Linked DNA regions of Drosophila melanogaster. The protein of the gene in region 3 interacts with the protein of the main gene of each other region in a pairwise test. Each region holds a gene or a part of one and is shown on either strand. Other genes may lie near its edges. The genes, in order: CG15109, Lmpt, Atox1 and CG15576.

The links.
Region 1: the proteins of Atox1 (region 3) and CG15109 interact in a two-hybrid assay, tested with the Drosophila melanogaster proteins (one large-scale study listed by BioGRID).
Region 2: the proteins of Atox1 (region 3) and Lmpt interact in a two-hybrid assay, tested with the Drosophila melanogaster proteins (one large-scale study listed by BioGRID).
Region 4: the proteins of Atox1 (region 3) and CG15576 interact in a two-hybrid assay, tested with the Drosophila melanogaster proteins (one large-scale study listed by BioGRID).

What each region holds. Positions count from the first base shown.
Region 1 is NT_033778.4:19,057,527-19,061,613, forward strand, and holds CG15109 (uncharacterized protein), read left to right. Parts: upstream 1-1,894; 5' UTR 1,895-1,960; intron 1,961-2,069; 5' UTR 2,070-2,092; coding exon 2,093-2,117; exon of another isoform or gene 2,118-2,208; coding exon 2,209-3,353; 3' UTR 3,354-3,539; downstream 3,540-4,087.
Region 2 is NT_037436.4:16,897,756-16,902,424, forward strand, and holds the start of Lmpt (limpet), read left to right. Parts: upstream 1-1,659; 5' UTR 1,660-2,297; coding exon 2,298-4,313; intron 4,314-4,373; coding exon 4,374-4,436; intron 4,437-4,622; coding exon 4,623-4,669.
Region 3 is NT_037436.4:21,639,204-21,643,116, reverse strand, and holds Atox1 (antioxidant 1 copper chaperone), read right to left. Parts: upstream 2,123-3,913; 5' UTR 1,928-2,122; coding exon 1,922-1,927; intron 1,831-1,921; coding exon 1,755-1,830; intron 1,144-1,754; coding exon 1,010-1,143; coding exon of another isoform or gene 956-1,009; 3' UTR 518-955; downstream 1-517. Other genes in the region: CG32445 (uncharacterized protein), read right to left, coding at 2,538-3,641.
Region 4 is NC_004354.4:4,251,353-4,254,397, forward strand, and holds CG15576 (uncharacterized protein), read right to left. Parts: upstream 1,439-3,045; 5' UTR 1,287-1,438; coding exon 915-1,286; 3' UTR 518-914; downstream 1-517.

The DNA.
Region 1 (4,087 bases), on a different chromosome or scaffold from region 3:
GTCTGCTGGTCCTGCATCTCCACTTGTCATTTGCCACTGTGGCCCCAGCTACTTGCTACTTGCCACTTGCGCATTTAATTAAGTTTACGCCGCGCTGCACACGCAAAAGGACGAAGGACGTTATTAATTAAATTCCTTTATACACAGGTTAAGCCAGCCATCCCCTCCACCACCTTTCGCCTTTGTGTGTCAACAATTGGAATATTAACGAGGCAACTAATGAAAGTTTACAAAGCCGGAGTCTTTTCCGCCGAAACAAATCGAAAGGGAAACATTTAATAAAAGTCGCACTCACCGATTTTCCGCCCGAGATCAAAGCAATTGCTAGACCAGTTCCCCTAGCACCACTTGACCCACACGGCGGATGCGTGATTTTCGCTACCAATTATAGTGGATCGTCTTGGGAGCCTTTTTGCAGTGTCTGCGTGCAAATCCCGCCGCGTTGATGCACTGCGGCAAAGGTTTCGGACCCCTAATAAGCCACGACCTTAACGGACTCACACATCAAAGCAAGAGCACGCACACCCACTTACACACTGGCTTATAAGCCCCAGACACGCAGACATATGCAAAAAGGATATGTATTAACTGTACGCATTTAAGCCGCTTGTCGAACGCGCACAAATCCAGAAGGGGAAAATCGACTTTTATTCAATACACTCGAAAAATCAACTTTGGCAGATAAAAAACGAGAAGATGAAAACGAGACAGCAGGATGGACCGGAAAAACGGGGTTTTCGAGGAGTGGGGCTACAATATGCGAGTATAAATGTGCAAATCCCCAATGCAGCAACAGCTGCTGCTCAGCCACGCCCCCTTTCGACCCCCCTCCCCGCCTTCAGTGCACTCGTTTGGCATTTACATTTAAGCTGATAAGGAAAAGTGCCTGCTCCTCGGGGTCCCTTGGTTTACCGCCTCCTGCACCCCAAAATCCACCTGAGCGCCAAGTCGCCTCGAAGGGCGCACACACACACACACACACAAGCACATCGAAGACGGCGATGAGAATTGTTTGTTGAAAATGTCGCCAGTTTATGAAATCGCGTGCGTTGGCAGCAAGGAATTCACATTTGACGCACGCACTTTACATTATTAATGCCTAAAGACGAAGGCGGCAGAAACAAGTTCAAGTTTTAGGCTAAAAAAACGGGAATCGAGAAAGAAATACCCTTTTGAAAGTAACCAAAATTCATTTGATATATAACACAAAAGAAGATATAGTTGTTACATTTTGAACAAATGGGAAATTATAGTTTAAGTCAATAAGTCAATCCATGCAGATTCATAACCTATATTTCATATCTTCGATAATTCTTATATACCTTTTATATCAAAAGTTACATGGAGTAGGTGAGTAGTGCTGTGTGCGTGCTTGTGTGCGTAGAGAAGCATCGATGTTTTGGAAAATGCTCCTGCCATTTCGCAAATGTATCGCATTTCCGTTTGGGTGTTTGCACTTTTACGCTTCGCTGAGAATTTTCCAATTTTTGCTGCTAATATTTATTAATCAAGTAATAGCTACTCACACGCAGGCACACACTACGTGTATGAACACTTGAGCTTGTGCCTGTGTGTGAGTGTGAGGTCGCTTGATTTTTGCACGAAAAATTGATTGGAAATTTATAAGCTAAACTTTTTCCACTGTTTGCTTTTGTTTGCGGCCCACGAAACAAACTTTTTTGGTGTGCGCGGTTGTGTTTTGTTACTTTTTTTTTTGTTTTTGTACCATTGCTGCCATTTGCAGCACTTGAAAAGGTCGCCACAAATGGAAGTGAGTGTGTGTGGAAAATCCCCATCAGAAAAATATTGAAATTCGATTTTTTTTTTCGTACTCTCAGTAACCTTTTACCAGGTCCCCAGCTGTCTGTCAAAGCCTCGCCATGAGGCAGGAAGCATTTCGAATTATTTTCAGTACAAACTTTGTGCCGAGCACACCTAGAACCCACTCCAATCAAATAAAGTAAGTTCAAATTGTAACTATTCTGGTGGAAAAAAATCTACAATAAATATTCAACTCTGAGAATATTTGTGGTCACTTTTCACTTTTTCAACTCAACTGTCTTCCACAGCGCTGCCTATCATGCAATACAAGATGAACTACTTGCTGATCCTTGGGTGTAAGTATACGTTAGTTTTCAGTACCATCTAGCATGCAATTATTTATAATTAATTGCGTGTATTTCAAACGCATCCATTGTTTTGCTTAAGGTGTCCTCATGTTGATGCGGCCGATGTACGGCGATTGTCTGCGCATGAAGCGTTCTCAAGGCGATACTGCAAGTGATTATAATGAAACCACTACAATGGACAATACTGCTTCACTGAGCGGAAAAGCCACCGTGTTGGCCAATAGTACCATTACCACCGCTAACATGACTGAAGCCGCCACATCTCCGGAGCAGAAGATTACTGCTGGACCGGTGCGCAGTATGGGAGTTCGTGGAAAAACCACTAGCTCCACAACCACCACCGCATTATCATCATCACTTGCTGCTGTGGCATCCACATCCTCGCCTCCGGATGCCGGAAAATTTCAGCTAGTGGAGGATCTGCTGGGACTGCGCCGTCCCAAGAGGCGTTTGGGTAGCCTGATGGACGACAGTCTGCAGCCACGACAATTGCACCACAAGCGTCGCCCAGCGGTGGAAGCTGCTGCTATGGCCACCTCATTGCCACCCAACCCTAATCCCAATCTTAATCCCAATCCCAATCCCAATTCCAATCCCTACGTGTACTACAACAAGCTGGTTTCGCCAGATGGCAAGCACGAGATAAAGGAGTTCGAGCTGCTGGCGCCCAACATGATGATTGAGAGTGTGCAGCAGGAGCTGAACTACGGTCCGGAAGTTCTGCCACCGGAATTGGCCGGAGTGCTACTGCTGAATGCAGCCGAGAACACTCCACGCGGACTTCATAATGCAGCACCACTGAAGCACCATCGCAAGCATAAATCCTCGCCGGCTGTGCCACCGATGCTCTACATGCTGCAACAGCTGTTGCAGCCCAATTTCGAGGGAAATCTCTTGCTGGAACCACCAAAGGAGCCACAGCGTCACGTTAGTTCACCCCTCTATCAATTCCTTGATGGCGCCATGGATCTGGCTTTGCGCAACAATCCCGATGTCATCGATCACCTGCTGGGCGATCACCTAGAATTGGAGCTGGAGATGGAAAAAAAGAAGGGCATCAAGGATAAGGCACTAACGAAGAAGGCCAAGAAGGAGGCACAGAAGATGGAACCCAAGGAGGAGCTCATCGTCAGCTGTCCCATTCACCATGAGCACCATGCCAATCGTAATGGCGACGTGGTCGAAGATGATGTCGTTTTGGTGAACGAGTGCCATCTAGTGTGAACCTGAAACGGGCAGCTGTCACAATGTTTCTTAAAAATTTTAGGTTACTTGTTTTTCCGCATTCTTTTTTTTATTTTTTGTTGCTTCAACTGGAAGATGTTTATATTTCTTGCATATGTAAGGAGTGGCGAGACCATTTTTACTTTGTATACAAAAAACAGACAATAAAAACTAAATACACATCATAATAACTATGTTCAGCGGAAGAATATAAAAAATCAAGCTCGAAAGTTGCAATATAATCCTTCGGGAATGCCATCATCGAGCAGAATGGCCATTGTTCCGCCCGTAACAAATATCAAACTTACGCTCCAATCGACACCCGATCCCCTGGGTGGCCTTCTCCTTGAAGTTCTCCTTCGTTTTCATTAACAAAATCGATTTCCTACCTTGAAATGTCCTGAGGGGAGAGGTGGATGAGCGGGAAAATTGATATGCCGAGTGCGACAGTGCAGCCAAACGAGCAAACAAATCTAACATACAAACCCTTGACTGCGGATGAGAATATATCCTCCATTTATAGCAATACATGTGTGTGTGTGTATGGGTGTAGGGGTGGGACATAGCGAACGGAGCCGAAAGGCAAAAGTTTTGCCGGCTGCCACTGCTAAATGCTGCTAATTTCGTATACAATAAAACTAATGTAAATTGCCACTTGACGTTCACTGGGCGTGTAAGTGTGTGCCATAGTATGTGCAAGTGTACTGGCTGCACATACATAGACATTAAATGGG
Region 2 (4,669 bases), 4.7 Mb from region 3:
AGTGAGTGCTCGCTGTCACGGGCTCTGGTTTTTATCGCCCGCCGCACGCAGTTCACGTTTATTGCATAGGTGCGGCAATCGCCCTTTCCAAAGGTTATGGCATTTTCATTGAACTTCACTTGGCTGCCTGTGGGAGTCGGGGATCCCGGGGATATCTATCCTCCAGCTCCGCAAATGCAGCGACTCGCGAGTGGCGATGGCAACAAAGAAATGAAGGCAGTTCATTGGCAGCACTGGCTGTTGACGCGTTGTCATCCGTCGAGCGGAAGTTCATTGCGAGTGAGCCGGAAATTTGTGGCATTCGGTTAAGGTTAGAGATTGCTAAAAATTGCTGCAGGTATTCGCAATTTGTTATTGATGTGCACAAACTGCTTTAGCTCGATTGAAAATATCCTTTATCCATTTATTTTGATTTTAAATAGATTGGGGGTGTAATATGCAAGTAAATAAATTTTTTTTATATGCGTGTTGATCGATTTTTAATTAGAAAATGTTGGATAAAGAAATTGCATTGTCTGTCGCCTTTCGGTGTTATTGTACAAAAAACCATGTTTAAATTTATTCAAAATAAATTTAAATTACCATCAGAAACACTTTCGCTTTCGTTGCGAAAAGCAAAATAAACATATGAATATATCAGAGCCCAGATGACCCATTTATTCATATAAATCTATCTATTTTTGCCACAATTTCTAATGACAATCAGATGATGAGAATAAACAAAAGAATACAAAAATAGTTTGGCTTTGTGGGGCAAAGAACACAATTATGCCGCGTTTGACAATAATTATACTGATTCTGAAAACGCAGAAGAGAACCACAGCGAAATCGGCGATAAAGAGCCTCTGAAAGCTGCTGGCAATGTTAGTGTCAGTGCCAAGACGAAATTTATGGCAAACATTTGTGTGCAATCCGCTCGGAGGCGGCGAAATGGGGCGTGGCGACCCTGGCCCCAGGCGCTGGCAATGCCAAAGAAAACTGATTTGCAAACACCAGGAACAGTAAAAGTCATGCCCATAAGAATTACGAATGCTAAAATATATTTTTCCCACTTTCGAGAATACCAAATTTTATTGGCAAAATAAACAAAAGAATTGGGCATTTTATAAACAAAATTGTATCTCAACATTGTACTCTTAAATGTTATTTTTTCTAAAATCGGAGATACGATGTGACCATTAATGCCAAATTAAGCATTTTTATGGAAATTGGCACCTTAGCTCTGTATATTATTGCAGCCAACTGTGCGTCTGAATAATATGTGTGGTATGCAGTATAGAAAGATCATGTTTTTCAGAAAATACTTGATTTTTTATTATTTTAAAATATCAAAAGAAACATTTTCTGATTAATTTTGATAAATTGAATTTTTAAACCTGAATAAAAGGATAGGAAAGAAAAGATCCCTAAATCTTGATACTTGCTTGAGATTAAAAAACTCTTCATTATGTTATCGAAATGACAGTTGCATTTGATTTTCCCTATCCGATTTATGGTCATGTCGCTAACTGTTCTCCCGCACGAAAACGGCGAGCAAAGCAGAAAGTGGCGAAAAGTGTTTTGTGGAAAACAGCAATCGAAGCATAGACCAAAAATAGTTCCCCCCAAACGAAAAGGGGGCGCGGCCGGCGGGGTGTCGACTAAACTGATTAGAAAATCGGCTTTGGCCAATTCCGATTGCTTTGGCATTTGACACGGAGGCAAGGCAGTGCAACAACGGCAGCGGACAGAAGCAGATACATTTGTGTTGCCAAATTGCCAGCGACAAAAGTCGGCGATGTCTTGTCAGCTCTACAGGCCTTTTGCTCTCATCGCTGGCCGTCAATTAGCGCCGTTTGCCATTTGAACGGATTCGGTTCTTGGCGGTTCTCTCGCCGCTGATTCACTTGTTCTCTAGAAATCGGGGGACCCATGGGCATTGGCTGGGGCATTAATCAGTTGCAAGACGATCGATTAGCGGAAAACAAGAGCTCGCCGCCCGAGCAACTGCATCCGCCTGGCGAGTCCGCCCATCTCCGATTCTTCTTGCTTCGCGCTCTCATAAATCGTCTCAAAACGTAGATAAATGAATATATATCGATGATTGGTTCAATGATTTGTGAGCGAAAGTGAAATAAATATTTTTCGAATTACCTAATCGGCTGGCCATTAACGTGAGTGGTGTGAATTTTCGAGTGCGTGGTGAATATATTTTATATAATACGTGTTAGCCGATTCGGTTCTCGTCGACACATACTCTCATTGCATCGGCGAACGTTGGAGGATTCGGATTCCGTTTCGATTCTGGTCATTACGCAATGGCCGCTGAGGAGACGGCGCTAACCGGCGTCGGCGAGCTACTATTCTCGCTGCTAATTGGATACCTAGGTGCCCTGGAATTCGCCTTTGTGGCGCGCCATCTATACCACTGGACTTTCCAACATCCCGGCGATTCTTCTGTAGATGCAGCAGCTGACGCAGAAGAATTGCCTCGCATGCGAGAGCGATTGGATAAGCAGATCAAGGAGGCGGCGGAAAGGGAAGCCCTGGCAGGAACCAATGTCATGCAGGATGGTGTCCTATATGTCAATGGAATACGAGTAGATCCTGCTGGAGATAAAAGACAAGCTTTGGCAGCCGAACTGGCACGTCAACAGCAAATTGAAGCCGATACGAGGCGTCAGCTGGCCGAAGCCGAGGCCAAGCTGGTAGAAGAAAGACTACGAGTCCAGAGGGAGAAAGAGGAATCGGAGGAGCAGCAGAGAAAGCTCGTAGAGGCGGAAAGACAGCGCGAAAGAGAGCAGGCGGAGAAAGAACTGCAGGAACAAAGAGAAGCCGAACGCAGACAGCTAGAAGCAGAAGAAAATCAGCGTAAACAGCGCGAAAACGAGGAGAAAGAACGCCTAGAAAACGAAAGAAGGCTGATAGATGCCGAACGGGAAAGGGAGGAGAATGAGCGAAGACTGCAAGAAGCTGAAGAGCAGCGCGAGCGAGAAGAAAGCGAAAGAAGAATCGTCGTGGCAGAGCGTCAGAGAGAGCAGGCCGAAGCCGAAAAGGAGCGAGCCGAACAACAAAGGATCCTGGCTGAAGCCGAGGCAGCGCAAGCCGAGCGTCGTCTCTTTGATGCCGAGATTCAGCGAGAGCGCGATCAAGCTGACGAAGAAGGGCAAGCACTGAGGGATGCGGAGATCGTAGAGCGTCTTCTGGCAGCAGAAAGAGAGCTCAGTCCAAGCGCTACAGAGAGCGAACTGGAGGAGGATGCTGCCATCGCAGAGCAGTCGCGTCGCCTGATCTCCAGCAGAACTGATCTGGAGCAAAAACAGCGAATGATTGAGGAAAACGCCAGACGCTTTCTTGAGGCAGAAGAGGAGATGGTAATGTTACAACAGCGCCAACTTCAAGCCTCACACAGCAAAGAGGAGGCAGACGAGTATGCTGGCATGGAACCCGTGGTGGAGGAGCTGTGTGTGAAGAAAGTGGCTCCACCCAGGTTTCAGGAGCCTCCAGAAGAACCCATGGTGCATAAAGTGAAAACTCAATTTGGTCAAGGAAGTGGTCCTGAAGACGCCTACTCAGCAAAGTCAAAAACACTCACCTTCCCTGGCGTATCGGATGAAGGATCCTCTCTTGAACCCAAAACTCCGTTCTCCATCCAGCAGTCGTCCTTCAGCACGCAGCCCTCTGATGAGGGCAACAGAATCGAAAGTGAACGCCCAGAACCTGAAGGAGAAGATCAGATACAGGAAGTCCAGTACACCGAGGACTACCTTCGTTCTCTAGATGGCATTAAGAATCGTCCTTTGATGCGAGAGGATGGTTCAGGGAGAAGAAGGGCTTTTAAGAAGCGACGATCCAGTGGAAGCTCGAACTCCTCGCGGGAATCGCGAGCCTCCCGCGACGAAGAACTAAAGATGTTCACCTCGCTAGAGGAGGAGGAGTTGCGCCACGGCGACCGAGAGGACTATAACCCCATCAAGTATACGAGCGAACCTACCCTGAGGGTTAAATCCCACCGACGTCACAAAAGGAGTCCAGCAAAGGATGTTAGACCAACGGCAGAGTCGACCACATCCTTAGAGATGCTCGGTGAGGAGAGCACAAATCCCTGGGGTGAGGTTGTGCCGGAGCATTATAAGGATACCGAGTTTTGGAAGCGGGAAAAAGCGCTCTCCATAGACGAGGAGGAAATCGAACTAGAAAGACCATCCAGGGGAGAGGATGTGGAGGAAGAAGCTACAAATGAGCCAAAATCGTCCTCCTTTGAAGAGGCCACTGAGGCACAAAACGAACAGGCAGTGGCTGCCCTAAAACAACAACTTTCCAAGGAGCAGTTGGTGAGTAAATGAATCTACAAGCCGAGGATCTATATCAATGATTTATTATGTGTGTGTTAGGACAAAGAAGCGGAGAAGGACAACCCGCAAGCAGTGGATACCAGCGACAGCAACAAATCCAATGTAAGTGCGTAGCACAGACACCTGGCATCATTTCTCACCCAATAATTTCGACCACAACCTAATCCACCAATCGCAGACACCACTGCCGCATAACTAACTGTCCTAACTGCTTTACCTCTTTGCTTTTCATATTGCTACTGCTCCCACATTCCGCTTGCTTTTCCGCTTCACCTTTCCCCCAAAAAGCTGCAAACCTCTATCGCAGCAGAGGAGCAATCAAGGGGTGGTTCACC
Region 3 (3,913 bases):
AACGCAACTGAGCCGCAGTCCCAGGTAGCCGGAACGAGATGAGACTTCGAACGTCCAGCTTTGAGCTCAATTAGTGCAGTCGCCTGGGCTCTTTGTGTGCTGTTGCATTCTTTGAATGCCGAGGTGGCATTTGATTGATAATTTCGTTACGCCTCGAACATGGCCCACAAAAAACCAAGGAAAGCAAGACACACGCGGAACTTGGAAAACCGAAAATAAAAATATATTGAATTTTATAAGTGTGGGTTCCAGAGAGCCGAGATTTATGACAAGTTCATGCTGCCCCTCCGATCGTTATAAGGCAATAATCAGCTCTTTGTCGCCGATTCGCTGGAACGCCAAACACCACAAGATGCTTAGTGCCCGCATCTGATTTTCGGATTAGGAACGACAATAAGACAATTTGGAAATGAAAACCATTTCCCTAACGGGATTTACTACATGATGCTCCAAAGTCGACCTGAAAATTGTAAAAGTAGCCAACACATTCCCAAAAAAAATAAGGATGCCAGCATTTAAGGTTAAAATGTATTTGTATATATTTGATATTTAAAATGGTAAAATTTGTAATATTACGATTAGTCATAAGAGGGCAACTGGCGTATATCATTTATTGGCAACTACGTTGGATTTACTTGAGTACCCCTAAATACGGCACCTGCATACTTAGGCAAAAAGTTGGCTGTACGATTTGATTAGTTAAATTTGAATTTAAAATTCTTCATCTAAGCATAAGTAATGCATAATATAATAACACCTCAATTGGTTAACTACGAGCTACATACAATTTGGGCAAGAGCAAATACTAAGGTAAAATTTGTATATGATTCCTATATTTGATTTGGTTAAGAGTAAAATTTGTATGTATCCCATGAATATCACTGAACAGCGACCCAAATCGAATGCTTTCGGAGCGGCAACGTGGAAGATATTTCAATCCTCTGGGGTCCACACCCTATACCTCAAGTTTCAGCCTGCCGTACTTCTGAAACTTGCTGAGGAACTCGTCTCATTTCTTCACCCCGACGTAGGTGGTGCTCTTGCCGGTCTTGCGCAGCTGCTCCATCAACTCGTCGGACGACAGGTTCGACGTCACGCTCACCGTCCGATCCTCCAGGTTAATGTTGACTTTCTCGACCTTATCTGCGGAAAGGCAAAACACATGGTTTAGTCGACGAGCGCCGAAAGTAAGGCAAATCGCTACTGATAAGGGCTAGGCTAAGTTGTTCCCACCACTTGAACGAACAATGCAAATTGTGGTTAAGCCCCTTATCATTATATGATTTTTTATGTTTAAGGCTTGTTCTGTGATCTTCAAACAAATTAACTGAACTTGTTGTTAAGTTTAATCAAGTTTTTTAGGTACCAATAACATTTTTAAAAGAGCACAAATTAATTAGAGCTTGGTTAGAAAGAAAGGGGAAACATGTTTTCGTTAATGAATTACAACTATTACTATTTATGCACATTAACCGACTTTACAGACACTTCAAATAGTTTCGAGGGATTAGATATCCCATTTCAGGGAGCTCATTGTTAATTAGTCACTATCCTATTATCCAGGATGTACTAATTAAAAATGTAACAAGTTGGTGCTTACATACATATATGTATGTATCATGTGTCGGGAATCAATGGCATTAAATAAGTTCACCCATTAGCACACACATAGGTTCATACATACATATACGTAAACGTAAGTTCCGACCGATAAGACACTAACTAACTTAGTACTTGGCACTAGTTCTACGTACCGCCCAGTTTGCCCAGGACTCGCTCCACGGCACTGGCACATCCGCCGCAGGTCATCTCCACCTTGAATTCGTGCACCTGGGGAGAGCGGGAAATGGGTTGGTAGAGAATGGGAATTTTAAAGGCTCTTCCAATCGATTTTAGACTGGACTCAGCCAGCGAAACCCACTGTCATCCTGCTGCTGCTGCTGCTGCTGTGACTTCTGGAGTCCGTCGTCTGCTTGTAGACTTGCGGTAGGTTGAACAGCTTGACGGCTTTCCTCGGCTACTCTCAGTTCCAAACGTGGCACTCAGAAACTCCCTTCGTTTTTTCAGCGAATTTCTTTGGTTTTTTTTATATTGGGCTGTTCAGAGTGACCGAGGGATCTGCCCTTTAAATATATCAAGTCCATACTACGCGTAAATAAAGCAAATGTTTATAGCAGTGTGGTGCAGCACTTTGATAACGGATCTAGCTGAGACCCAAACCAAATGGCGCTACCAGTGCTGCCCAGTTGGCGCCTTTATTCAAGACTCCAGGGACGTAGGTGAGCACCAGCATCAAGTACGACCCCGAATTTCTGTAGAATTATAATTAAGAAGCGAAACATACTCAATTGTTCCCTAATCTCACAGTGTTTTAAAAAGATTGCATTACTTTTAAACGTTCGCCCTCCTTGTAAGTTGCAAATTTATTGTCAAGAAATAGAAAGATAATATAAATGCACTTTAGCCAGTACTAACCCTATTGATTGCACTGCCAATTGAATTTTAGCGGCCTAATTTTGGGAGCATCAACTAAGTTGCTACACTCGCTTGGGACAAGAGCCAAAGCGGTAGACCACCTGGTGATCGTAAAGCTGGCCGGGATTGAGCACGACTGAGGGAAAGTCGCAGTGGTTCATGGCGTCCGGGTACTTCTGCGTCTCCAGGGTGAAGGCTCCCTGGCGGACATAGTTGACCCCATCCTTGCCCGCGATGGGGATGTCCGAGCCGTCCTCGCTCGGCAAATGGTTCGCCGTGCTGAACTGGAGGCCCGGCTGGTTGGTGTGCACCTCCATGAACCGGCCACTGCATGGGTGAACCACTCGGGCGACCAATTGCACCCGGTTTGGAGGAATGTCCACGCAGAAATGGTTGTCGAAGCCGCCCAGCGGACATGTGGACACCTGGTTGAGCCGCTTGCCCAGACTGACCAGGCTGGAGAAGTCGTACGGGGTGGTGCGCACGCGCATCAGCTTCCCGGTGGGCAGGAGCTCCTGGTCCACGTCCACTATCTTCTGGGCCTTGATCATCAGCATGTGCTGATAGAGCGTATCCCGGCCCGCGCCGTGTCCGGCCAAATTGAAGAAGCTGTGGTTCGAGATGTTCACCGCCGTGGTGGCCTTCGTCCGCGCCTCGATCCGCATCCCAAAGCAGCCCGTCTCGTTGAGCGAGAAGTTGATGTTGGTGGTCAGCTCGCCCGGATAGCCCTCGTGCCCATCTGGCGAGATGTGCTGCAGGGTGACACCGTCCTTGTGCACCCCTACCACGTCCCAGATGACGCTGTCGAAGCCCACGAACCCGCCGTTCTGGTGATGCCTATCCCGCAAGTTTCGACTCACACTGACCTCCTTGCCGCAGAGCTTGAAGCGCCCGTGTGCTGTACGATTGGCCACCCGGCCAATGGTGGCTCCAAAGAAGTATTGCTGGTTACGGTAGTAGCCTGCCACGTCGTCGTAGCCCAGGCACACGTCCTCCAGCTTTCCGTTGAAGTCGGGAACCTTCAAGGACTGGATTATGGCACCCATCGTCAGGATCGACACCGACATGCCGCGCTCTGTGACCAGCGTGAAGCGCCGGACACGGTCAGTCTTCTGCGTCATCGGGTTGACGGCGATGCCGAACATGTCTTCGATCACTCGCACCATCTTGGATCTCCTGATTTTTGCCAAATACCTAGAGGAGGATTACTAAAATTTTGTATTGCCTTACTGTGGCGACGGGCTTGAGAATTTCAAAGGGCTCGAACGCTTTATGTTCAGATCAAAGCCCACTGTGATGGGGGTTTCAAAACGTAAGCCGTTACATTTTGTAAATCGTAGTTATGCCTGCTAGTCAAGCTAAAAAATATTCGTAGTTTCGTTTGTTAGTAAGAATAACCGAGTACTCAGAAGAATTTAGAATTTAGCATGTTCTTAAC
Region 4 (3,045 bases), on a different chromosome or scaffold from region 3:
ATGAAAGTCAAACACCCACTAAAGTTCCTATGGCTGCGCTCGAAATTTTCTTTGATTATGCAAATGTCACAGCTGAGAGGGCAAAATCTGTTTCAATTGGCATCCTGATTTGTCTACAATCTATGTATGTACGAATTTCAGAATAAATGCATTAAAATAGAAGCTTTCATTGAGAAGTTCATTTTAGGATGAAGTAAGTAAAATGAAGTGCTTATATTGGGGTCAAATTCATCTAGAATTGAAATGGCATGCTAGTCATTTCGGGGAATAGTTAACTAGTGCAGTTCAATCAACTTTCCGTGCGCTTTTCCCGTATGTTTGTCACGCCCCCATTAACCCCATGGAAAAAGTGACATGACAGACAGGAATCAGACTTGAGCTGGGGCTCAATCCATCACATCAGTGCGGAAGAGACCAGTCATCATCATCATCGTTGTCGTCAGTGCGCTTGTTCCCCTCTTGGCCACCATCGTTGCCCACTGACCACCATTGTCATCCCCGTATCCGAATATAATATAGAGTAGCGGAATTGTATCTTTATTACGATAATTGCTCATTGAACAGGAAATTATTATATGCGTCCGGGGCTCGGCATGTCCTCCAATTCCAAAGCCCATCAATTTTCTTGGGGAGATGGAAAAATCATCAACCCAGAACTCAACGGGGATATAATAATAGAACAACATGCGTCCGAACAGGGTCCGTTCTTCTCCAAGGGTTACTGGTTCAGGTGGCAATGAGAATGGAAGTGGTAGTGGATTGTGTTTGGGGTTTCGGGCCTTTTAGCTGATGATGACATTTTTCTTCTTTTTTGCGGACGACGCTCAGAAATGAAAAAAAGGACATCACACACGCACAGGAAGGGGAGAGGCAAAAGACAGTGATGGCAAGTGTGGTAAGAGAAGGTACAGATCCTAGGGGTTTGGTGGCAGTCCCCGCAATGGTGGATGATAGTCACCAGCGTAATTACCATAGCCACCGCCATCACAATCGCCCTCGCCAATCAAACCGCTTGGCATCGGAGGCTCCCTCCAGTTCCACACGCCGATACTATCGCCGCCTCCCATATTTAATTCCGTCCTCCGTCGATGTAGCATTACACGCATATTGATCATGAAACGATTCACATCCCGCTGATGATCGATGCGCAATTGAATCGGTGGAATTTGGGTGATTCGACGTTCATCAGTCGATGGCTGTATATTGCGCTCTTCTTCGCCCGGCACGCGATCCATATTCAAGCGAATGCGAAAACTCTGACCTGGATTTGGCCTAAATGGATTCATTTTGAATATTTTAAAGCTGTTCTTACTGAAATTTCGATCGAAACGTTCTGCTGCTGTTGGGGATTTCGAATAACTAATATTTTTCTGACACGGTAGCACACAATACCGATTGATAGAAATCTCAATGAGACCTGAGCATCTGAAATATGTGACAAGACAAATAAAGCTGAATTGTGGAATGGTATTATGTGAAATATTGTACAAGAGATAAGAGATAACCAAAAAATTTGGATAACTAATTCCGACATAATCCGACTGGGGGACTTCCGGTGAAATATCTATGCGATCTATGTGGCCCACAAGTACACATACTTGTGTACGCTCGATGCATATTTAATTAAACTTTCACCTACTCAAAGACGACAAAGAATCTTTGGCGAGGGCGACAGGAGACAAGTCCAGAACACTTTGGTCTCTCGCTTCAATCATTTTCATGGGGTGGATTGGATGCGCTAGTGGATGTCCTAGCTCGAGGACCTGTTACTCTCATCCTGGTTCCTGAAGTACTTAAAAGCAACACGACAAGCTTTAATTAAATCAGTTTTAATTAATGCAAAATGCGAAATTTCAAAAGACGTCGTTGAGCAAGCGCTTGGCTCAAATTGCCGACAACATGGAAAACAGAACACAGAGGCGGTGAGCTCCAAAGGACCCCAAAAAGGATCCGCATCCCCTCGAACGCAACGTTTTGTTGTCGCATAATTACAACTCAATTGTAATCCAATTTTGGCCAGGCATATAAATCCGATTCAGGCACAAAGTCACGCCCCCGGCCTGGTGTCTGTGTCAACTTTTTCGGTGTCAAATAAATAAACTTTTGACAGTCGGCAGACAGGCCAGCGGGGTTTTCCGAGCTCCAACTCCGCCCGAAAAAGCCCATCCGCACACCTTTCGCTTTTTGTGGCCACCACCGGAAATGGAAATTTGTTAACAATGGTGGGTGGATTGGGTTTGGTGGCATGTATCTGGGATGCCAAAATCAATGCCCCAACAGATGGATTAGATACAGACATCTGACCACGAGCTCATCCGTTCAACCCCGTCGAAGGCAGAACTCTTGATAACTGCAAATTAGTTGCACATGTTCCACATGGGCCACAACTCAAAACAAGACGTGTTTGCACTAATTTGGCCAAAATCAACAGCTGTGTGTACATGTGCTGCCATCTTCTGCTCGCTGTGTGAGTGAAGAAAACTCATCATAACTTTCTTATCAGAAACTTACTTCTTGCTCTTCAGATACCCAACAGAAGCGTTCCCAAAAAAATAAAATAAAATAAAAGAACGGGGGAACTAGCGAGATTCTGGGGCGAAAAACGAGAAGGAAAACAGAAAAATTGCCTAGAAAACTTGTTATAATTACACACTGGCACACACACACTGGCACACGTGCTGGATGGCCGTATGTGTATGAAAGTCGTGCACTTAAAGAAATAAAAGCGACTTCGTTATTAATGAAAATTGTCTATGTTTAAATATCATAAGATTTCATCAATGATTTAACTATGTTTGAATCGATTTTTTTGCGATTTTACAACCTCTATTTCATACCATTATTTTAACATGGTTCTGTCATCTATTTTCTCCATTTGTATGACTAACTTAGTGACTGCAGGGCAAGGAATTTGGAAGGGGAGACGTGGAGAGAGGGGGAGTACGAGGGCATGCATGAACAGGCAACATATGTTGGACTTTGGAGCAAACTTTTGCGAGTTTTCGGGGCGCCCTTCCACTATGCCCCTTGTGGCAGCTCCATATA